Linked DNA regions of Drosophila melanogaster. Changing the gene in region 3 together with the main gene of any one other region gives a genetic interaction. Each region holds a gene or a part of one and is shown on either strand. Other genes may lie near its edges.

What was found.
Region 1: of sev (region 3) and Cdc37, changing one enhances a phenotype caused by changing the other (phenotypic enhancement), as found in Drosophila melanogaster (one study listed by BioGRID).
Region 2: of sev (region 3) and Src42A, changing one suppresses a phenotype caused by changing the other (phenotypic suppression), as found in Drosophila melanogaster (one study listed by BioGRID).
Region 4: of sev (region 3) and ssh, changing one suppresses a phenotype caused by changing the other (phenotypic suppression), as found in Drosophila melanogaster (one study listed by BioGRID).

The regions. Positions count from the first base shown.
Region 1 is NT_037436.4:1,793,455-1,797,843, reverse strand, and holds Cdc37 (cell division cycle 37), read right to left. Parts: upstream 2,453-4,389; 5' UTR 2,145-2,452; coding exon 2,112-2,144; intron 2,052-2,111; coding exon 1,848-2,051; intron 1,667-1,847; coding exon 1,007-1,666; intron 991-1,006; exon of another isoform or gene 943-990; coding exon 670-942; 3' UTR 537-669; downstream 1-536. Other genes in the region: CG12020 (uncharacterized protein), read right to left, coding at 1-479. UniProt on the Drosophila melanogaster protein: Co-chaperone that binds to numerous kinases and promotes their interaction with the Hsp90 complex, resulting in stabilization and promotion of their activity. Required for cytokinesis and chromosome segregation in mitosis and male meiosis.
Region 2 is NT_033778.4:5,991,080-5,995,994, reverse strand, and holds the start of Src42A (Src oncogene at 42A), read right to left. Parts: upstream 3,004-4,915; 5' UTR 2,618-3,003; intron 1-2,617. UniProt on the Drosophila melanogaster protein: Required directly or indirectly for the phosphorylation of drpr which is necessary for the interaction of drpr with shark and subsequent glial phagocytic activity.
Region 3 is NC_004354.4:11,083,267-11,088,249, forward strand, and holds the start of sev (sevenless), read right to left. Parts: upstream 3,034-4,983; 5' UTR 2,930-3,033; intron 982-2,929; 5' UTR 860-981; coding exon 179-859; intron 1-178. UniProt on the Drosophila melanogaster protein: Receptor for an extracellular signal required to instruct a cell to differentiate into an R7 photoreceptor. The ligand for sev is the boss (bride of sevenless) protein on the surface of the neighboring R8 cell.
Region 4 is NT_033777.3:24,938,455-24,945,713, reverse strand, and holds ssh (slingshot), read left to right. Parts: upstream 1-1,818; 5' UTR 1,819-2,064; coding exon 2,065-2,124; intron 2,125-2,192; coding exon 2,193-2,438; intron 2,439-2,503; coding exon 2,504-2,895; intron 2,896-3,187; coding exon 3,188-3,253; intron 3,254-3,316; coding exon 3,317-3,511; intron 3,512-3,577; coding exon 3,578-3,847; intron 3,848-3,932; coding exon 3,933-6,285; 3' UTR 6,286-6,711; downstream 6,712-7,259. Other genes in the region: Nmnat (nicotinamide mononucleotide adenylyltransferase), read right to left, coding at 1-188, 261-456. UniProt on the Drosophila melanogaster protein: Protein phosphatase which regulates actin filament dynamics. Dephosphorylates and activates the actin binding/depolymerizing factor tsr/cofilin, which subsequently binds to actin filaments and stimulates their disassembly. Required for axon growth.

The DNA.
Region 1 (4,389 bases), on a different chromosome or scaffold from region 3:
CTCTCCGTACTGGCGTCCTTGGAACGCACGCCAATGCCATGCTGGCGCGTAGCGTACAAGCTCGGTGGATTGGAGATCGCATCGATCACGTTGGCATACGGCGAGTAGCTACCGAAGACCCGCTCGTAGACCTTCATGTGGTCGCCGTCGTACTGATAGGGCGGAAAGTATCCGTTCGGCAGCATGACGCCCTCGAACAAACCCGCCTCGCCAAAGCGATCGTATATGGCCCGGTACAGATCGTTGCCCAGCACATCGAAGGCCATGTTGACGTAGGCCCACTGCCTGGGCTCGCCCATGGGTGAGAGGTGCGTGAGACGACCCTCCTGGGCCAGCGGCACAAAGTCCTGCTCGTCCTTCTTGTCGCGATGTGGGCAAAGCCGAATGGCCAGGCGGCGGTAGGCCAGAGTAATCTGCTCCTTGGTGGCGCCTCTGGGCTGATCCAGCACCGCGTAGTAGTCCAGCTCCGGCCGGTTCATTGTTTCTATTCGGAGTCGAAGCGTATAACAACTGGCAGAAGTGTTCACAGAATGTTTGACGTGTGACTGAGAATTTATTCAAATTATATACAATAACTCAACTGACGCAGGATCTGGCTATGGATGAAATATGCTTGTGGACAAATACATTAAGATTAGAGCTATGGTGTAGATGGAAACGTGGCGGCGATCAGTCAACGTCCTCGGTGCTGACGCCAGTGTAGATGGGCTCCTCCTTGGCTGCACTCTCTGATTTGGCATCGTCGGTCTTCTCCTCGCCACCGGCGACGTCATCCGAGTCATCTTCCTCCTTCTTGTCACCCTCCAAGTCAGCGGCATTGGGCACCCAGAGACCAGAGTCCACACAACGCTTCATGTGCAGCTTGGCGACGTCCACGGGCATGGCCGCAATGGTCTTCTGCAGCAGCTCTACGTCGCGGGACTCGAAACAGGCCTTTAGTTCCTGCGGAGCAAATACATGAAAAGTTAGTCAAGTAATTCCCATACAGTGAATCACTAGAACGTACATCGGGCAGGGATTCAAAGACATCGGCTGGGTCCAGACCACCAGGTCCGAGGCGCTCCTTGCGCTCCTCCTCTTCGGCCTGGGCTATCGCCTCCTGGATCTTCTCCTGCGCACGCTTCTGGATACGTCCTTTGAAACCTTCGATCTCGCTGTCGAACTGCGCGCGGTACTCGGGATGACAGTGCTGGATCTTTGAGAAGAAGGAGCTGACACAGGCGCGAGGATCCACGTCCAGCTGTTTGGCCAACTCTAGAATGTACTGCATGCAAATGCACTGATGCGCCACGTGGGCCATCAGCTCGTGCTTCTCCTCCATTTCCAGGTTGATGGACCAAATGACTAGGTAGTTGGCCGTCTCCTCGCCCACCAAGTGAAGATGCTCCTGCAGAAACCGCTTCGAATCGTCGTACTTGCGCAGCATGCCATACTGCTGGCAGAGCTTCTCGTTCTCCTTGACGAATTGCTTCATGCGCTGCTCTCGCTCTTCCTCGGACAGATTCTCATCCGGCTTGCGGCCGGCCTTCTTGTTGATTACGGTCTTCTCAAAGCCGGGCTTGCTGATGGTGTCCACGTTCCAGGGTGTTTTCTTTTCCTTCTTAATCATCTCGCTCTCGATGCGGTCCAGCTCTTTGCCCTCGGCCTCGATCTTTTCGAGCTCTTTCTGTAGGCGATACAAATTAGGGATTAAGCATTGCGATGAAAGATGGATGGCCACTTAGGATGATAGTCAATCATAAGCTTGACAATAAGAATAAATTAGATGGATTGAGAACATAGGGAACTCCCAGACCAGGCATTAGCCTAAGCAACAAGTGCGCAGTGCATTCGGTGCAATGACCCACCTTCAGGGCCTCCTCGTCGCCATCCTTCTTTGAGATCCGCTCCTTGACGTCCATGAGGCGCGCCTGGTAGCTCTGGCGCTTTTTCTTAAGCTCGTCCTTCTCGTGGTCCATCTCCGCCATGCGCTCCACGCGCGCCTGGTGCCGCCAGCGGAACAGAGAAGGCGTGTCTATGTTTGGGTGAGTGTCGTCCTCATCATCCGAAATCTAAAAGGTAGTGTGCCGATTAGGAGGACTTTTTGGGTTGGCACCCAGCAGTGGGCTCACCTCGATGTTCTTCCACTTGCTGTAGTCCACCATTTTGCTGTTTCTTTGCTTCGGATTTATATTTGAATGTAAATGCTGCAGGTTTTTGTTCTTTTTCGGCTGCTTCCTTTTTTTGGATTGCTCTGGAAATTAGTGTGACCGCAGGGCTATTGCGGAATAATACCATAATAAGCCCCGCTTACTCTGGGGCCGCGCTAGGAAATAGTAGTCATGCATGAGTGCACCAGATTGAATTGAAATACCCTGTCGTTTTTAATTTATTTACATCATCTACTACTACTCATCTACATCTACTAGAAAAATAATGAGATGACTAAGGCGCCAAAGCGACCAGAAAGAGAACTATGTTTATAATCGATTGACATCGATAGAAATCGCGATATTGATGTCAATGTTCTGCGCCAATCGGCCGACATATTGAAAAAAACTGCGGTCCCGTGAAATAGAGGCGCTCCGTGAAAATTACGAATAACTACTGCAAATCAATAGTTAAATTAACAAAGTAACTGTGAACAAATAGATTGCCATCAAAGTGTAAGTTTCTACATAGTTTTCGTCCGTAGCTCACTGTTAGTTGGGTTCAAAATGCAATTGAAATTCGGTGTGCGTGCAAAGTGAAAATTTTTCGGGTCAACGCCACACCCTCGAAGGCAACACAAAAATCCAATTAACGGGGCTAAAGTGAGAGAAAAGTCTTGGCCATAACTGAAAAGCTATGCTGTGCAATGTCACTGCTTGATTAGTAATAGAAATTTTGAATTTCTTTCAAAATTCTTGACTCCAATTGCAACTTAAGAAAAAGTATCTGGTGCTCCTGTTGTGCATGTGTGTGTGCGGTTACGCAGGAGTAGAGAACGCTGTGTGTGTGTACGTCATCGGGTGGTGGTGGTGGTGCGGCAACTTCAGATGAGAGAAAGCGGGAGAGCACACTCTCCCTCTCTTTGCTTGTTTGTGTTTCCAAGATATTTAAGTACGAATAAAAAAAAAGCAAAGTGCTTGCCTTACATATGCCAAAGTTTTGGGTGGGCAAGTGTCCTTGACTTTCTTGAAGGCCTGTGTTTGCATAGGATATTTTTGTTTGCTTGCCAGGCGATTCCGTGTTCGTAGTAGTCTTGCGTACCAGTTGATTTTTTGTGCCTCTTCATTGATTGCTCATAATTCCAAAGCGTACGCATTACGTCATCCTCTGCTATTTTCTGATAGACACTTCAATTAATGTTTCGCTCTCTCCGTCTCTTTCTATTCGCTCTCTTTTTGAGGTGCGATCTCTCGCAATTGCCGTTTCTGATGTTGTTTTTGTTTGCCACCGCGATAAACAGTTAAATTGGCCTGCCTGTGTGTTTGTATGTGAGCTCCAACATTGTATGGCTGCCAAGCCCTGGGCTGTTGCCATCTCCCTCTGATTTATTTCAATTTCCTGTGGCAAAGAGTGTTGTTTGTTTGTTTCTCTGCATGCTGACCCACCCTCTCCCCTAAATGATGTCATTGCTTGCTCTGCTGACCCCTTCTAAAGGGGCGATTTTGAAGTATTAAGTATTAAAATCCGGACATTCCACGGATTTCCTTATCGTTAGTGCTAATTGTATTTCATGTTACTCTATTGACAAAAATTCACTCCTTGGCTTTTCTCTATTAATCATTCTTGGCCAATCTTAACTATTTTACCTTCTGTGTAGTGTAGCTGAGAATTTCAGATATTTCTCTGCTTTTCTTATCTGAGTTGTTTTTTTTTTTTTTTTAGCACTAAAAATTGGAAACTATTAGAAATGTGATTTTATGGGCTATCAACTAAGTTTGGAAATTAAAATAAATGATATCTTATAAGAATTCATAGAAAATATTTATACTTTAACAACAAAAAATTGTTGATGCAATATTTAGATACTTTTAGAAACCTACTATTCTTTTATTGTTAAGGTTAATACCTTTACAAATTTGTTTAGCATACATGTGCGTTTTTCCAAACCTGACCTACAAATATATTCCTCATAATTTCCCGCCTAACTATAACCTTATTACAACTTTTAGTACAGGTGATGAAGTCATCACAACTCGTAGCATTTTACGTGTCGTTTACGTTGATTTAGTTTATTGTGTGAAAACATATTGTTTATACAGAAAAAAAAGAAAATCCTGCAACTTCAACCCATCCAAACAACTCTAAAAATAACTTAGAAAACGAAACCCACAAAAGCCGAGCCAACATTTCCCTTCTCTCCTCTTCCGTTGCAGGGAAACAAAAGGGAGAGAGGGATTGGAGGAGGGCCAAAGGTTGAAA
Region 2 (4,915 bases), on a different chromosome or scaffold from region 3:
CAACGACGTTGTATAAAACCAGTTGAACCCGTCTTGTTTTCGAAAGGCTATTGAAAGCTCTGATGCATATAGTAATCTATATCTTTTAGCAGTTTTTGTCACGAGTCGGACGTCAAGGACTAATACTGTCGTGTACCAAGAAATTATATTTTTATTCCTGTAGTTGAAGATAAAAAGCGGAAATTAGATTCGTTGAAAAGTATATATAAAATGTATATATATATATATATTCTTGATCGAAACATATCCGGGAACATTTTGCTTTATTGAAACAATTTTAAAACCCTGTACCTTTTACAGTCAACATCTAGCGAATTAGACAGCCGTAGGTGGACTTCAGAGGAATCGGTATATGATATTTTAAAAATATCTTTAAAATGTTTTAAAAACATTAGTAGAAAATCGTTGTGTTTTACAATATTTTACACATTCTTACATACGTTAAGTTGTACAAAAAGACCAAAATTGTTCGAGTGTTTTAAAGATTTGTATAGTTTTTGTTACTAACCGAGTATGAACAAAAAGACTACGGTGCGTTTATCCCTGAATAAAAGCTCAACTCACACCGAACTTGTTGACTGACCTATGGTAACCGATTCGAAGCATGGTCATTACAAAATATCGCTCGATGTGTTTTCGGTTGCTTGTGTGGGAGTTTTTTTTTTTTACGGTAACGCGTGCCAAGAAAACTGAACAAGACGAACATAATAACGGGTATAATGAGCTGCAGAGCGAGTGGAATGGAGTGCGATTGGCGAAGTCTTTGTTGTCGTTGTTTCTGAAAGGTAACAATTGCACTCAAAGGTACTACGACCCAAATTGAACCGGTTTAACGTTTTTTATGTTTGTCTGCTTTTTTGTTATTTCCTTCTAGTGCGCCAATCCACAACTAGTAAACCTCGAAAATCAAACACTAACTCTTTCTGTTGCCATTCGACATGATGGTTTTCAGCCAAATCTGTGAGCGAGTCTACGTTGCGTAGCCAAAAAAAAGTGAATCATTGCAAGAGAGCGATAGGAATTAAGAAGCTGTGTGATGCCGTCTAATTTATAGCTTTTGTGCGTACTTTCTCCGTGACTCCAAAAAAATTTAATGCAAATAACATTGTGATTCGCTTGCTGCGCTCCATTAATGTGGAAATCAAAAGTAAGCTATTTGGCCAGCAAAAACATAGCCATTGACCGACAACCTCAACCAACACAACAAAACTTATGGTAAAAAAAAGTTTGGCTTTGATTTTATGACCGTGATTTAGGTCATTGCACAATGGTGACGAGACTTAGTTCCCTTCCACTCATGGAATTCGAATTTATTCGATATGTCGAACTTTTCATATATATTAATATCCGCGACATTCGTGTACTTAATTTAATAAAAAAATTGTTTTTTTAAGAGAGAAACTAAAAGAAATTGAACGTCCTTCACATTCATCAAATATTTTGTGGCGCCAACACTCTTAAAAAAACAAGAGAAAACACCAAAGCGAGTTCTTTGACTAACAAATACCCGTTACTCAAAAAAGAGAAGTGCAAGGACGACGCAAATATTCCAGTAGGAACGTGACTCCGAGATTGCACATATATGCTTTAAAAACCACATTTATTTTATTCCCTTACTGTATTTATTTATTCTAACTGAAAACAAAGTATCGTCAGCGTATGTATAAGAGGTTTTTGGGAAAGTGCACGGTCCACAGTTAATAGCTTAAGTGGCAGGAGCTGAAGAGAGAACCAATGAACTGAAAGGAGTAATTCGAAGGGATCACAATCAGAGGTTACAGCTCGGAATGCCAACAACAAAGAGCGGACCACGAAGCCAGCTACCATAAACAATGAGCTTTTTTGCCTCTCTTTAGCTCATCTGGAGCTCCACACTCAATACCATGAAAGCAATTTTCATGTGTTTTTCAACTGAATATTTTGTATCTGTATCTTTATCTTTTTTCTGCTACCACTGCTGTTGTTAAGCGACTCCGACTGACAGGCATGACTCATGACGCAGGAAATTTACGACCACGGCACAGTGCAGCAAGAGAAGGCTGAAAAGCGATATAAAAGAAGGCCCTAAACTCCGCTAATTCCAAGCCTGAGAGCCAACTTAAATCTTAGCCTAAACGCAAAGAATATGTGCGAAATGGCGCAGTTTGCCCAAGTCACGTAAGTCGAAATTGATATGATTTCTGAGGCCTGGTATGGTGTCTGAAAAAAAAAAACGCCGTGGAAGTGCACAGCAGTGTATAAGAAAGTTCATGTGCACGGAACTGAGCGCTTTAGCACTTACAAAAATGTATCACCCGTTTGGCAAGCCAGTTGTGCATTTTAGCACATAGTAAACGATAAAGTTCGCAACAACTTGAGGACGACTTTGTGGGCTGTCAGGCATTGCATAACCAGATTCGCAGGAATTCTCTTACGAAATAAGCTCGACTTTGTATTCCGCACGGAATACACCGTTCTAATTCCAGCGGCATGCGCCGAGGCAAAGAAAATATGTTTGCATGACCAGCGAAACACACGCGAAACAGTAAAGAAAATAGAAAGTTCTGTTCCCATCTTTTTCTGAGTTCGGATCCACCAGAGGAATGTTCCGCACACTGCAGCTTCCCTGGGCTTGTACCTTTTCCAGTTTTGCTGCTACTGCTGCTCTTGTTACCACTTATCCATATCAAAGTGGGGTTTTACTTGAGGCACTTTTGAACAAAGAAAACACTGACTGTTAGAAGTATGCCAACAACACAAACAGGTCGCGCATGCGCCGCACAGTGCATCTAGTGGCTCTGTGGTGGCTTGTGGATAATAGATTATATAGATTTCATCGGCCCGTGAACGAAAAAACTTGTAAGCGCGGTAGGCGAGCTTTGGCCAAATTCGATTAAGGCATTTAACTCAGATTCGGATTCGATTTCCTATGTGCTGCGTGTACGGGCGCTATTCCGATTTCCGAGCCGTTTTCGTGCGGCTTCCGTTTACACGTCCGTTTTGTGCACCGCTTCGCAGACAACTGATACGTTTATGAAATTTTTATAGAAAGGTTTTAACCGCTTGCCACCGCACCGACACACTCGCACCCGCCGCCTTGGCATCTATGTGTGTGCCATTTGAGCCAAGCTCGCTGCCCGCGTGTTGGCCAACCGTTCCCGCTCTCTCGCTCTTCGATCCATCTTTGTGTGCTTAGTCTCTTTTATCTTGGCCCAGAAGTCCAATGGCTCGTCGAAGAGTGGTCTCGCTCTTCGTCTCCAAGTGCCTCTCTCTTAAGATGCTCCGAGATAAACTGCACAGTTTTGTAATTACGACAACAATTAGTCACAAAGTGCGTTGATTGCAAAGATCAAATCGAGTTGAAAACAATTAACTCGTCGCTGTTACTGACAAAATGTCAGGTTGTATTAATTTGTTCACGTAACCAAAATAACTCAGCACTGTCGCGTCACTGGAAATCAAATTATTTGTTTCTAAATGTCTCCGCTTGGGTTCTTGTGAACGCCATTGAACTCGTCATTGATAAGGTATGCTATGGAACATTGCTGAAATAGAAAATATTAGAGTCTACATCGTGGGAATACTAATGGCTAGTATCCAATCCAGAAGGGACTCGCAGTGGGGACTCGCGCCTGGACATACCATTTAATATTAAGAATATATTAACGAATACCTGGGGATATTTTGCGAAAAGTCGGAGGGCAAAATCTATAAACATAGTCGTTAGTCACTTTGATTTAACACTTGACCAAATATGAGTGTTCCTGAGCTCCCTTATGTAAATAGAAATTCATGTGCACATATAAACACATGTGTTTACGTCGATGGCTCAGATTCTCCGTTTCCCTGACCACAAAACCCTTAAATACTGAAATATTGGGACTTACCTGGAAATAAAAAGTAAACAGAAAGTGTTAAATGTTAACTTTAACGGGTTGTGTAATGCAAAATAAATAAATAAAAGGACACTTTTATAAAAACGTTAGGCAGTATGGCCAATATCACTGAAGTATACGGTTATCTAACTTAGCAGTATATTCTTTTTTCATTTTAAATTAACTTTTACAATATTACAGCACAAAGTCACAGCTTACAGGTCGTATAACTGAAATCAAATCTAGCCACACACCAAACTGTATCGACAAAATGCGATTTCGTCTCCTTCTACTGTCCTAATCTGATTGAAATGTGTGTATTTACCTCTACGTAAATTACGAGTCAATTAATGCCCAGCCAGACTAGGTGAATATTTGCTTCCTGTGCAATTTTACGCTAATTCAAATTCCTATAACATCAACACGTTCACCGTTAGTATATGTAGTCTTTATCGGACGTATCAGCTAAAAATTAACACTATATCACTGAGTCAATTAAAATGTAGTCGTTCGACCTTCCTGGAGAGCGACGACCGAGTCTGTTGTCACTTATGTTTTTTTTTAGCTACTGACAAATTATTAAAACAATTGCCTTCTATTGAGTATTATTGACTTGCCACAAACTCGAATGATTTGTCTACACACACACACACTTCACCTGAGCCGAAAGAAGAACGCTCAACTAAATCGGAACTTCACCACGCATGAACACAGGGAAATATGAATAAATGCCGACACGGCTCTTGCATGTGGCTCTCTAAAACAATTGCCTTCTCTTCGTGGGTTCAACGACATTTTCTGATGTCATGTTCAATAACAATTGCAGCCTATAGTGGCAACGGGAGTAAAATAAAGGATGGCTTGAATTATTAATGAATAATGAATACGGAGGTTCAAAAAATACTAAATTCGCTGCATATGAGCTGAAATTATAATTATTTGGAAAATCGGACCCATTTATTTGCAAACTGTGGTATCATAACTTTTCTTTAATTGTTAAAATATTTATTTGAGTCTTCTCAAATCGCTCTCAACAATCATATTATTGAACATTTTAATTA
Region 3 (4,983 bases):
TTCGCACCCGAATGTCGCTTTACCCTTTTTTTTCTTTGCTTTGCCCTGGGGAAAGTCATGTTTTATGCATGTTTTATGCATGTTTTATGCTCTTTTGACACCATCACGAAATGTGCATTATCACAATGTATGTAAATACAATATAAAACTTAGGTAATGTTAGAAATCTAGAACTCACCTCAACAATGCAGCGCTGCACACAATCCCTGGTCACGCGTTCCAGGACCATTCGCTCGTCGACGCCATGCTGTTCCTCCGAAGGATCACGATCCCGATCTCGATCATCTGGATGATGGGCCATCGTTGACTGTGGCCTGCTGCTGATGGCGATGCCCTCGACAATGCTTGGCGGAGCTGCGGCGGCGTGCTTGTGCCAGATGGCCACCTTCTCGACCACATCGCTGTCCAGCTTGGGACGCAGCAGGCGCATTTGGTCTTTGGAGACGGGTTCGGGACTCTGGTGCACCGTATAGTTGTGCGATCGGCAGACATCGCAGCAGATCGAGAGTAGAATGAGCAGGAGAAGATTGATGATCAGTATGGTGGATATGCCGCCATGGCCATCCTGGCCACTGGCCAATTGGCGGCCTAAGCGAGCCAATTGCTGACGTAGATCGAAGGAGCTGCTCTGCTGGCGGACCACAATCTTGCTGGGTGAGGCATTCTGGGAGTTCGACGAGGAGGAGGAGGTGCCAGGTGCCTGCTGATTGATGTGGGTGGTGGTCATCTTGGTATTCACATTCACCGCGATCTTCACATTGAAGCTGATGTTCAATCTCTTTGTGGGCGCCGCACCCTTCGCCTGTTTGTCCTGCTCATCCGACTGGTGGTCTACATTTTGTTGCCAAAACATAGTCATCGAGGCACTCGATCTTCACCCCGAGTTCGCGATTTGTGGCGTTCGATTCCTATTTCACTCGATAATCGTTGTTTGCTTTGGCTGAATTAACATTTTAGTGCCGCATTTGACTGAAAACGAAACTGAAACACACAACACAGTGACCACCGCAGTGTAAATCAAAAGAGAAATAGAAAGAGAGGGGTGAATTTGAACAACGCACAAATAAAAATCAGATTTCAAATAGCAGAGTCAAAAAACCAATTCAATTGGAAATTTTAAGTACACAAACTAATTTCCATTTTATGCAAATTCGAGAAGCAGCAAACGAGGCAGTTACAAAAAATTAAATGCAAGTGATATTTTACGGATACCCTTTACTCAACATTATGTCATATAATGTTAAAATATATGAATACATTTTTATATAATTTATTTAGCGAATTTGAGAAATGAGTCTCGTTAACTTTCCATTAAACAGAATGACTTATTTCTTGTACTTCAATTCATTGCAGTTGCAATTTAAAGGCATAAAAAAAGCTGCTAAAAGGCCCGAACCTAGTAATTTACAAATATTTGCAGTATATCAGCAAGCCAAGTTTTGTCTAATTAATAGATACTCCAATCACTGTATTTACAAAGTGGCAGTTCTGCCCTTGCAAAATGCTATATTACTATCATTTTTGTCAAACCGTCAATTATCATGAGTTTTCCGGATTATTACTCAATTTAGTGTAACAAGCATAAACAATTTACATGTATAGTTGATTAATAGCTGTACCAATAGCATTAAATGATATTTGCATATTTGAAAATTTGATGTATATAATATATTTGATATATTTGATATATATTTGATATATTTGGAAAATAATTAATAAAAATAAGTAGGCAAGTGAATATACCCCAAGAAAAAGCTTAACTACATTGCATTCTACTTATTTCAGATGCAGCTCAAAGGTTCAACGCACATTGCCGGCGAGATAAACAGGGTAAACACAAACACACACACACACAATCTAAGTCCGGATCGATAAGCCAAAATCCCAATGATCTCCGTAACTGGTTTGGCCAGCTTCCACCGCCCAACTCATCCAAATGTCGCCGGGATTTCGATTAGAGGACATGGATGGTCCATGCTCTCATGGTCCATGGTCCAATTAATATGGCGTCTGCATAATCAGCTAGCCAAGCGACAAGTTTCAATTAACATGGCGTAATGCATGGCCAATAAGTCACGCCCCCTTCGACCGACCACAGCAAAAACAACAACAACAACAACAACAACAACAACAATAGCGAACGGGAAGTGGCCATAACAAATTTATCCTCATTAAGATGCAAACACATTCGACGGACGGAGAATAATCGAGCGGAGTCGCACTTTCAAAAACGGAAATCCCTTTTGTCCGCAAGTTCAGCAAAACCATAGATATACATATATATATGTATATATATATATATGTATATATAATAGTTAATTGCACTTTAATTTCATATTTACCAGCAACAACAACAGCACAGCAGCACGGAAAATGTTAATTAAATCGCCCGATGAGCAGACTAGACCGAACAAATATATATATGTATAAACAAAATGAAACAGAAAAACCGAAAATAAATTGAAATTCAAATTGAATAAACCGCGCGAAATAGTGAAAACACGAAAGATCACAGCGGGATTAATTGCATTAAAGTTATTCAGAGAATATTATGCAAAAGCTGCCGGCCAGCGTTTTGCATTAATTAGTCGAAGGTATGTATGCTATAGTATATATATATACATATTTGTACAATCAGAAAGTCAAAACCGATGGAGCCTTAAACTCTCACCCACATTTCGCTCGAATCGCCGCTGTTGAAGTTGTTAAGCGCTGTTCACGCGCTTTAATTCAATTTATTGTTGATTTGAGCGGCTTAATTGCATTTTATTGTTGCAGTTGCGGCCCCAACTGAAAAGCAACTCCACACACACACACATAGGAACACTTAGTGCACGCGAAAAAAAAAGGGTATTAAAAGAGCCGAAATTCATGCAAACACACACATACGCGCACGGATGTATCTTGTATCTTTGAGAACGCAACTCACTCGACAAAATGTCACAGATATCTGGATGTGGATCTGAATCTGGATCTGGATGTGCGATTCCCGAAGCGTTACGTAGTGCGCAGTGGCGCGATCGCAGCAGAACTGATTTGCCGGCGAGCGGCGGCTTTTTAACCAAGCCCCAAGCTCCAAGTCCAAGTCCAACCCCCCAGCTGGAGAACTTGAGCACGGAACTGAAACCGAACCGAAGCGATGCGATGCGATACGATACCATACGATACCATACGATACCATACGATGCGATGAACGATGAGTGACGAAGCGCACCGCAACCGAACCGAACTGAACCGAACCGATCTTAAATGACCATTGATCTTCTTTTTCGTTGACGCAGCAACTATGACGTCATTGGCAGGGCAACCCCTAAACTGGATATCATGGGTAGATAGCCCACCGCGCTCCTCTTTCCATGGGTCAAAGCTCAACTCAATCGGTTGATCGCAGATCGCAAGCAGGCCGCCAGATATTTAAGTTCTTATAGATACATAGATAGATAGATGTATTTTCCATCTCAAGAAACCAATGCCACCTCAAGAGTATCTATCTAAAATATAATCTTAATAAAAACATGATCTTAACATTGTGCATCTAGTTGATTTGATGATTTTCGGTTTTTAATAAGCTTCCGACTTACATAGTAACATCTTTGTATCATTAAAATTAAGGTAATGGGCCGAGGCTATGTAAAATGTATATAATTATTAAATTATAGTACTTATTTTTGAGCTAGACTTATTAAGACTAAATATATTGAAAAGCTTACATCCAAAGAGGGTTAAATTTCAACTTCTTGCAATGGAAAAAAACTTTATTCGTTTACAAATGTTAACAGAAATAATTTAAAATACAACTCAATTTACTCTAAACATCGTCACATGAATAGCGCAAATCAACGCGCTTTTTCGCCAACAAATAAACGTGGCAGAAAATTTGTTTAAATCGTTTAGCTGACTCACTCTTTACATTTAGCTAAGCATTAACAGCACACCTAAATTGATTATTAAACTAATTGATCGCAAGCAGCAGTAAACGCTTGAAAATAATTGAATTCAATAGGGAACTAGCCCACACAATCAGAAAATAAAGTCATCAATTGGGGTGAATAGAAGTGTATTTCCATGAAAAGTAAACGAGATGTGGAAAGTCATAGAAATTTCATTAAAAATTTTCTATCAAACTACAAAATATCATATTTCCATAACTTTTTAACCGAGAAATATGAAGAAAACAAGTTAAGCTATTAATTTCATTGATTTACACAAACATTTAGGTATTTTTTTTTTACTCTGTAGAATCAAAAACTCGCAAGCTAAGAAATATGCAATATTTTAAAGCATTTTCCGAGCATTTGAAGCACACAAGAGTAGGCAATTTTCCGGTTACACATGACTCGTGACTCATACAACTGACACTGCGGGATGAAAAATTGAGCGGCGAGTGAAAGGCTTGCGTGACAGCTTCCGTTTCCGGTTCCGCCATCAAGTCCAAGTATCCCTTTCGCTTATGGATTTTTTGGCCAACGGAAAGGATGTGCCGCAGACATCCAAACTGCACTCGTGCGCACAATTTCTTGGCCCGAATAATCTGTGGAAATCCAATCTCCCGCCTGGGATCATCGAATTCGTACTAATCGTTTGAAATATTCTGGAATTGATTAGACGGCAAACTTATTACACACACTTGACGGAAGATGCGGCTTATCAACCCGAGCGATTCTCAATGGATTCGCCGGCGGACTAGGTGCTACATACCTATTTCACAGACTGTCACGTGAAAATCAGATTTTCGCATTTTTTTCGAAAAAAAAAGGGACAACCCCGGAAATTCACCTTCTGATTGACGTATTGTGCACATTTTGCATGCAAACTCTTTTCAATCTTGAACTGTAGTGAAATTTGCAATTTTGTAGCACTACAAATTGGTCTTGCATAAAAATATTTATTTCTTTCTCTCAGTTTAGTCATTGATGTTTTAGTCTTTTTCAGTTTATTGAGTAAAAGGTTTTATTTATATCGACAATTGAAGAGAAACTAGAG
Region 4 (7,259 bases), on a different chromosome or scaffold from region 3:
CTGATTCTGGTGCACCTCCCAATCGGACAACCGAATCCAATTGGAGCTCTGGGTGGCCAGCTTGACCATGGCACATCTGTCCAAGGCGGAGGCCAGACCCTTTTTGCCATATGAGTCGTGCGTGGGCGAGATGATGCCACCTACCACTCTGTGGGTTCCCTGCATTTCGAAGTGGTCCTTGGCTATCTCTGTTGACAAAAACATGCCGCGTAATTTTATCGATTATGTACCGCAGAATTTCACAATCTAGTTTAACTCACCGAACATCCGAAGGTGCATGGGTGTGGGTGGACTGAAGCATCCGCAGGCTATGAAGGCGATCCGCGGCAGCAGGCTTTTTGTTTCCTCGATGAATGCTGACATTTTCTTCGATTTTGAGCGTCTTTTAAAAGATCCAAACCGCCGGAAGCATTCGCTTGTTATGTTGTTCTTGGGCCAGCTGATTTTCACAATCATCTGTTCGGCTTGTTGTTATTTTCCAACACTAAACAGCTGTGCAGTGGCTACCACCTCTGACTACCTTTGACTTGTTATTCGATAAATGATAACTTAATGTAACTTAATTTTTTGATTTTTAATCATCAAAAAGGCAAGAGTACATAAAAATGTATTAAAGCCTGTTTTACTGATATATCAAGAAGTATACAAACATCACTGCGTTTCTCATTAATAAGTACTTTTTTCGGTGTACCACACGAACATTGCTTTCGCTTGCGATAGTTAGCCAGCCCTGCCAGAACGATTGCCTGACGATACTAGTGTTATCGATTAGAAATGGCGTCCTCACTGTCTTTCTTTTAAGAAAAATTCGTGTAGTCTATTTACCATTTAGCAGCGTTGTGTGTGTCCGTTAATTGTAAGGACACGCTGTTTCTTAGAGAGAACCGCCTGGCTAGAGTGTCCGGAAAGCGGAAACCAAGACGATCGCAGGACGAGGTCGCGGAGCCGACTGCAAAAACAACGGCCAGCAGGCAGCGATATGAAAATGCATTTGTAGCCTTAGCCCACAACACTTGCACACACACCACACACTCTCGCGCACACTCACACACAGGGAAAAGGAGGTGGAGCAGAAGGAGCCGAAGCAGGAGAGGATTGCAAGGGACACCGCTGCAGCATCGCCATCATCTGCGCCAGGTGGAACACGAGGGTCAAGAGGCGTCGGCGGGGGAGGAGGAGCAGGAGGTGGAGGAGCGGCTGCGGCGACGACGACGACGTCCACGACCACGGCAACAACAAATGGCGCTGGTGACGGTGCAGCGCTCTCCCAGTGTGGCGGGCTCCTGCTCGAATTCGGTGAGAGGAGACTTGATGGTTTTCGCGTGTGCGTATGCGTGTGTGCTTTGTTTTGGTCACCCCCACTCTGCCAGGAGAGCCAATTACGGGCAGGCTCTTTAGTGCGTGTTCCGCTTTTGGCCATGATCCTTTGTGTGCTCGGATGTGCTTTTCATGCCCAATGTTTATCATCCGCCAGCTTGTTGCTTACGCTTTTTGGATTTCGACGTTCAACGTTCGCGTGTGGGCGGTATGAGGCAGCGTCATCATCGTCATCGGCTGTGCTGCGCTGCGCTGCTTTTGGTGTAACCCAAGCAAATCCGCAGACGTCGCGACGTCTATATTTTTCAACAGACTTTTGCATTGCCTTATTTGTCGTTTTTGTCGCTTTCCGCTTACCGCTTGTTTTTGTTTTCTTCGCCGCCCCACCGCCCAAAAATAGTTCGCGAGACCTTGACGTCCGCCTGCACAGAGGGAAAAATTAATATCGGGGGTTGATCAATTTAATTTTACAAAACGTTTTAATTCAGATATGCTCAATATGTCAAATCGGTATTTTTGAACACATAAATTAACATTTTATTATTTCTAAGAAATCAGAAAATATAAAAAAAAAAAAAATACTTCACTAAACCGGAATCTTTTTCGAACTTGTGACCCTTTTCTCAAAATCAGACGGTATTCAGTTGAACAATCAGATTTCTTGGAACTGCAGATACAGCTTTGCTTCTTTTCCGCCCTTGAAGTGTAGACTATAATCAGGAGTTTATCTTACCCCTTTGCAAAATAATGAGCATGCAAGTTTGTTCTTTGCCAGACGACATCCTTATATTTAGCCTAACCCCACGGGTGAGGTGCAGCAGGATAAGGTATTCTTAAACACCGAGTAAACAACTTTCCTTTCTCTATAACATCAGGATGGCGAGTCCGAGGACGACGAGGGCAATAGCAAAGGAAACGATCGCAGCGAGTGCTTCTTTGCCGGCAAGGGAACCGCCCTGGTACTGGCTCTTAAGGATATCCCGCCCCTGACGCAAAGCGAGCGTCGCCTGAGCACCGACTCCACCCGCTCCAGTAACAGTACGCAAAGCAACAACTCGGACATCCAGCTCCACCTGCAATCAATGTTTTACCTGTTGCAGCGCGAGGACACGCTAAAGATGGTGCGTATCCAATGTAAAATTACTTTGTCTATCTTTTAAACATATCTTTCTATTCCTATCAAAAGGCTGTCAAGTTGGAGTCACAGCGGTCCAACCGCACGCGCTATCTGGTGATTGCATCGCGTAGTTGTTGTCGGAGCGGCACCAGCGACCGTCGGCGCCACCGGATCATGCGTCACCACTCGGTAAAAGTTGGTGGATCCGCGGGAACAAAGTCGTCCACCTCCCCGGCGGTCCCCACGCAGCGTCAGCTGTCCGTTGAGCAGACCGCCACAGAGGCCAGCAGCAAATGTGATAAAACAGCAGACAAGGAAAACGCAACGGCGGCCGGCGACAACAAGAATACCTCGGGCATGGAGGAGTCCTGCCTGCTGGGCATAGACTGCAACGAGCGGACCACCATTGGCCTGGTGGTGCCCATCCTGGCGGACACCACAATTCACCTGGATGGCGATGGGTAAGACTGGGCATTCATCTCGTAAGAGTCATGCACTCATAACTGCCTAATTGTCGCTATTAACCTTGGGAATTATTTATAGAATTAATTTAAAAATTAGCCGCCCCTAATCTATACACAAATCGGTGTCGCCTTGACCAATTTCCTAGTTGAGCGGTGGCATTTATGTCGCACATTTGTTTCCAATTTATCTTAAGCTATTTTAATAATAGCATGGCAGAGTGTATTTGTTCTGATAAACGTGTGATGTGCATTTCCTTAATTTCAATGGTTTATCTTATCTTGCTTTCAGCGGATTCAGCGTCAAAGTGTACGAAAAAACGCATATATTTAAGCCGGTCTCAGTGCAGGCCATGTGGTAGGTGCCTCCTTTGGAGTCAGATCCCCTTCAGTCACAAATTAAACCCTTGTTTCTTTCCAGGTCCGCGCTGCAGACGCTGCACAAAGTGTCGAAAAAGGCTCGTGAGAACAACTTCTATGCCAGTGGACCCTCCCACGACTGGCTATCCAGCTACGAGAGGCGCATCGAGTCGGACCAGTCTTGTCTGAACGAGTGGAATGCCATGGACGCGCTCGAGAGCCGCCGACCACCTTCGCCTGATGCCATACGAAACAAGTAAGGGTTCGGTACAACTAATTATTTACGGTTTTAATTCCTCTTTCCCTTGAATGCCATAAACAGACCCCCCGAAAAGGAGGAAACCGAAAGTGTCATTAAGATGAAGCTGAAGGCCATCATGATGTCAGTGGACCTGGACGAGGTCACCTCCAAGTATATACGCGGACGCCTCGAGGAGATCCTGGACATGGATTTGGGCGAGTACAAGTCGTTTATCGACGCCGAAATGCTCGTTATTCTAGGCCAAATGGATGCCCCCACCAAGATTTTCGAGCACGTCTATCTGGGATCAGAGTGGAATGCCAGCAACTTGGAGGAGCTGCAGAAAAACGGGTATGTTTAAGAGAAAAAAAAGGCCACACTATTGATATCCTGGGAAAATTGGCTAAAATCAGCGACAACTTATTTTCATTTTCAGCGTTCGCCACATCCTGAACGTGACGCGGGAGATCGATAACTTCTTTCCGGGCACCTTCGAGTATTTCAACGTTCGCGTGTACGACGATGAGAAGACGAACCTGCTCAAGTACTGGGACGATACGTTCCGCTACATCACGCGGGCGAAAGCCGAGGGATCCAAGGTGCTGGTGCACTGCAAGATGGGCGTCAGCCGATCCGCCTCGGTTGTCATCGCATATGCCATGAAGGCTTACCAGTGGGAGTTCCAGCAGGCGCTAGAGCACGTGAAGAAGAGGCGCAGCTGTATAAAGCCCAACAAGAACTTCCTCAATCAGCTGGAGACGTATAGTGGGATGTTGGACGCCATGAAGAACAAGGAGAAGCTGCAGCGCAGCAAGAGCGAGACGAACTTGAAGAGCACAAAGGACGCGCGACTGTTGCCTGGTAGCGAACCAACGCCCCTCATTCAGGCTCTAAACCAGGCCAAGTCGAAGTCGACTGGTGAAGCGGGCGTAACACCCGATGGCGAAGAGGAGGATGGTTCACGCATGCACCGGCGATCCATCGCCCAGAAGTCACAGCGTCGCATGGTTAGGCGCTCGAGCAGCACATCACCCAAAACCCAGACGGCTGTGGTTACCAAGCAGCAAAGCCAGTCTATGGAGAACCTTACGCCGGAACGTAGCGTGGCCGAGGAGCCAAAAAATATGCGCTTCCCAGGCAGCAACGGCGAGAACTACAGCGTCACCCAGAACCAGGTGCTGCACATCCAGAAACACACGCCTCTGTCAGTGCGCACACGAATTCACGATCTCGAGGCGCACCGGGCGGACCAGCTGCCACAGCAACCTGTCTGGACCTCGCTGACAAAACTGATTACACAGACCTCTCACTTGGGAAAAAGTGTCAGTGGCAGCAGTAGTGGAAATATTGACTCGCGGCGGGATTCTAGCTGTTCGGATGTATTCTCCTCGCAGGTGGACAGTGTTTTTGCCAAGGATGAAGGGGAGAAGCGCCAGCGTCGAAAGACGCACTCCTGGACAGAGTCCTTGGGTCCAAGTGGCGGCATCGTCCTGGACCCCACGCCACAGCAACAGAAGCAGCAGTCAAACGCCATTCTGCGTCCCCGAGGCACACGTCAGCGGGAGCTGCCTTCGCGGCACGCAAGTTGGGGATCAGGAGACAACCGATGCTGTCTGCCGCAGAGGACCAGTTCCGGCTCCTACTATGACTCCAATCGCAACACTACGGCCATCTTCGAGGGCGTTATCCAAGACCTCAAGCGCAGTTCCAATTGCAATGTAATCGAAGGAGTCGCCGTTGCTGTGGAACCGATAGTTGGAGTTGGCGAGGGCACCGTAAAGCGCACCAAGCAGAAGCTGGAAGAGAGCACCTCGCTGAAAAAGCGCTGCCAGGAAGAAAGCCAGGAGCTGCTACTCGAGGCTGTGGATGCTGGGCAGAGGCGGTGCCCAAGCCTCTATAGGAGCGCCTCCTCGGCGCACAGTCCGCGGCAGCGTCAGCCACTACGCTGTAATAGTGAGGAGCTGATGCACACCAGCGACATCGAGAACAAGAACACCACGCCAGGCGACCATGAGGCGACGGTAGTGCTGCGCGTCCAGGGACAAACGCTGGCCGACGATCAGCGCATCTCGGGCAATGTGCAAATACTCAAGCAAAATTTCGAAGCCAAAGCGGGAGTGGTGGGCACAGGAGGAGGAGGAGGCGGTGGCACTGCAGCGGGATCGGGCAGTAGTTCAACAATCGCAACGTCGGTATCGGCGGTGGCCGGAGCCTGCTCAGCGAATCCCGGCAAGAAGACGACTAGCCACCAATCACTGCCATCGTCGCCGGTGGCGCAGCATGCCAACCACGTGTCCGCCGCCTCCAACTCCAACTCCTCCGCCTCCAACTCGTCCGATTCCAGCGTAAGCGAAAATTGTGATCGTAATGTAAAAGGTCTAGTGCATAAATATCAAACCACTACTTCCTGCAGTAGCCAGGCGGCCGCCACCCCCACAGTCGCCTGTGCCCCACTGCCACCCGCCGGAACCGCCAGCAACATCAGCCACTCCTGCAGCACCACTACCACTACTAGCTTCAAGCAACGCCCGCTCTCCTACTACGACCGCTCGCTGTCCAACAGATCCACGCATGACTATAGCGACAGTCGACCGCCACCCGCGCCCGTCCGCGTCAGTCACAGCAGCAACGTTCAGCACCAGCAACAGCAGCAGCAACAACTGCAACCGGAGCAGCATCAGCAGCAGGTGCAGATCCGGCGGTTGGCGCAGCACGGGAAGACGCATCCGCTGAGCAGGCTAAGTGCTCCGAAAACAGGCTTTAACACCGCCGCCTACAACACCATGTAAAGGCCATGCTCTGCTTAACAACATGCTAACTGCAAACTGCAACATTCACATACCACTTGCAACTTGCAATCCATACCCTGTAGCCACTAAGGATCGTCCTCATCCTATCGCCTGCTTTACTTATTTATATACTCGCCCGCTTTCGACCATTTTGTGTTTTTTGTCCAACAATCGAACACCACCACCCCATCCATCCCCTCCATCATGCCTCGTGTTTGTTGTCTTGTTGTGTAAGGCGTCCATGAAAGCTTCTAAAGATCTTGTGTCTGCAATGTGTGAATGGAACTATTAAGATGACAAGAGAGGGCAAACAAAACAACCTATGGAAATGAAACTGTATTTGTACTTTTAAATTACTTGTAACTGTATACATATTTATTTTATATTATGCAAGAACTGCCTACGAATAAACGATTTATTGTATATACGTCATCGTCTTGTCTTGTGAGTGTCCCTGTGCCGTCCATGTGCCATTCACACCACAACTCCCATGTGTTGCCCAACAAACACTGCCCTCCGTTTTTACCAGATTTGTATTTGCAGCCTTATCCACATGATCCGCTCCTTCCGCTACTCTTGGGCGGAGTACAAGAAGTGATCCGGCACATGGAGCACCGACTGCCGAGGCCGCGGCCCAAAAGTTCCCACCTTGAACACTTGTATTTTTTGCCATTTATCAGACCACATATTTATAAATAAAAATGTGTAATCCAATTTCGAGCGCAATCTGTTTTACTGTTGGCCATGAGTCACCTTTGGGTACACACATAATTTAATAGTGACCGGAGATATGAATTATTTTCACATATTGTATAATTACAAAGAAATTAACAATTACTATTTAATATAAATGTAATTTGATGTAGTTTGGGGATTTTAAAGTTAAATGTAGATATAGCAAGGTGTGTATGGAAGGAAAAAATATATGGGTTCTAAAAAGTTTTTTTTTTAACAAAATCCTTATCGATTTGAAA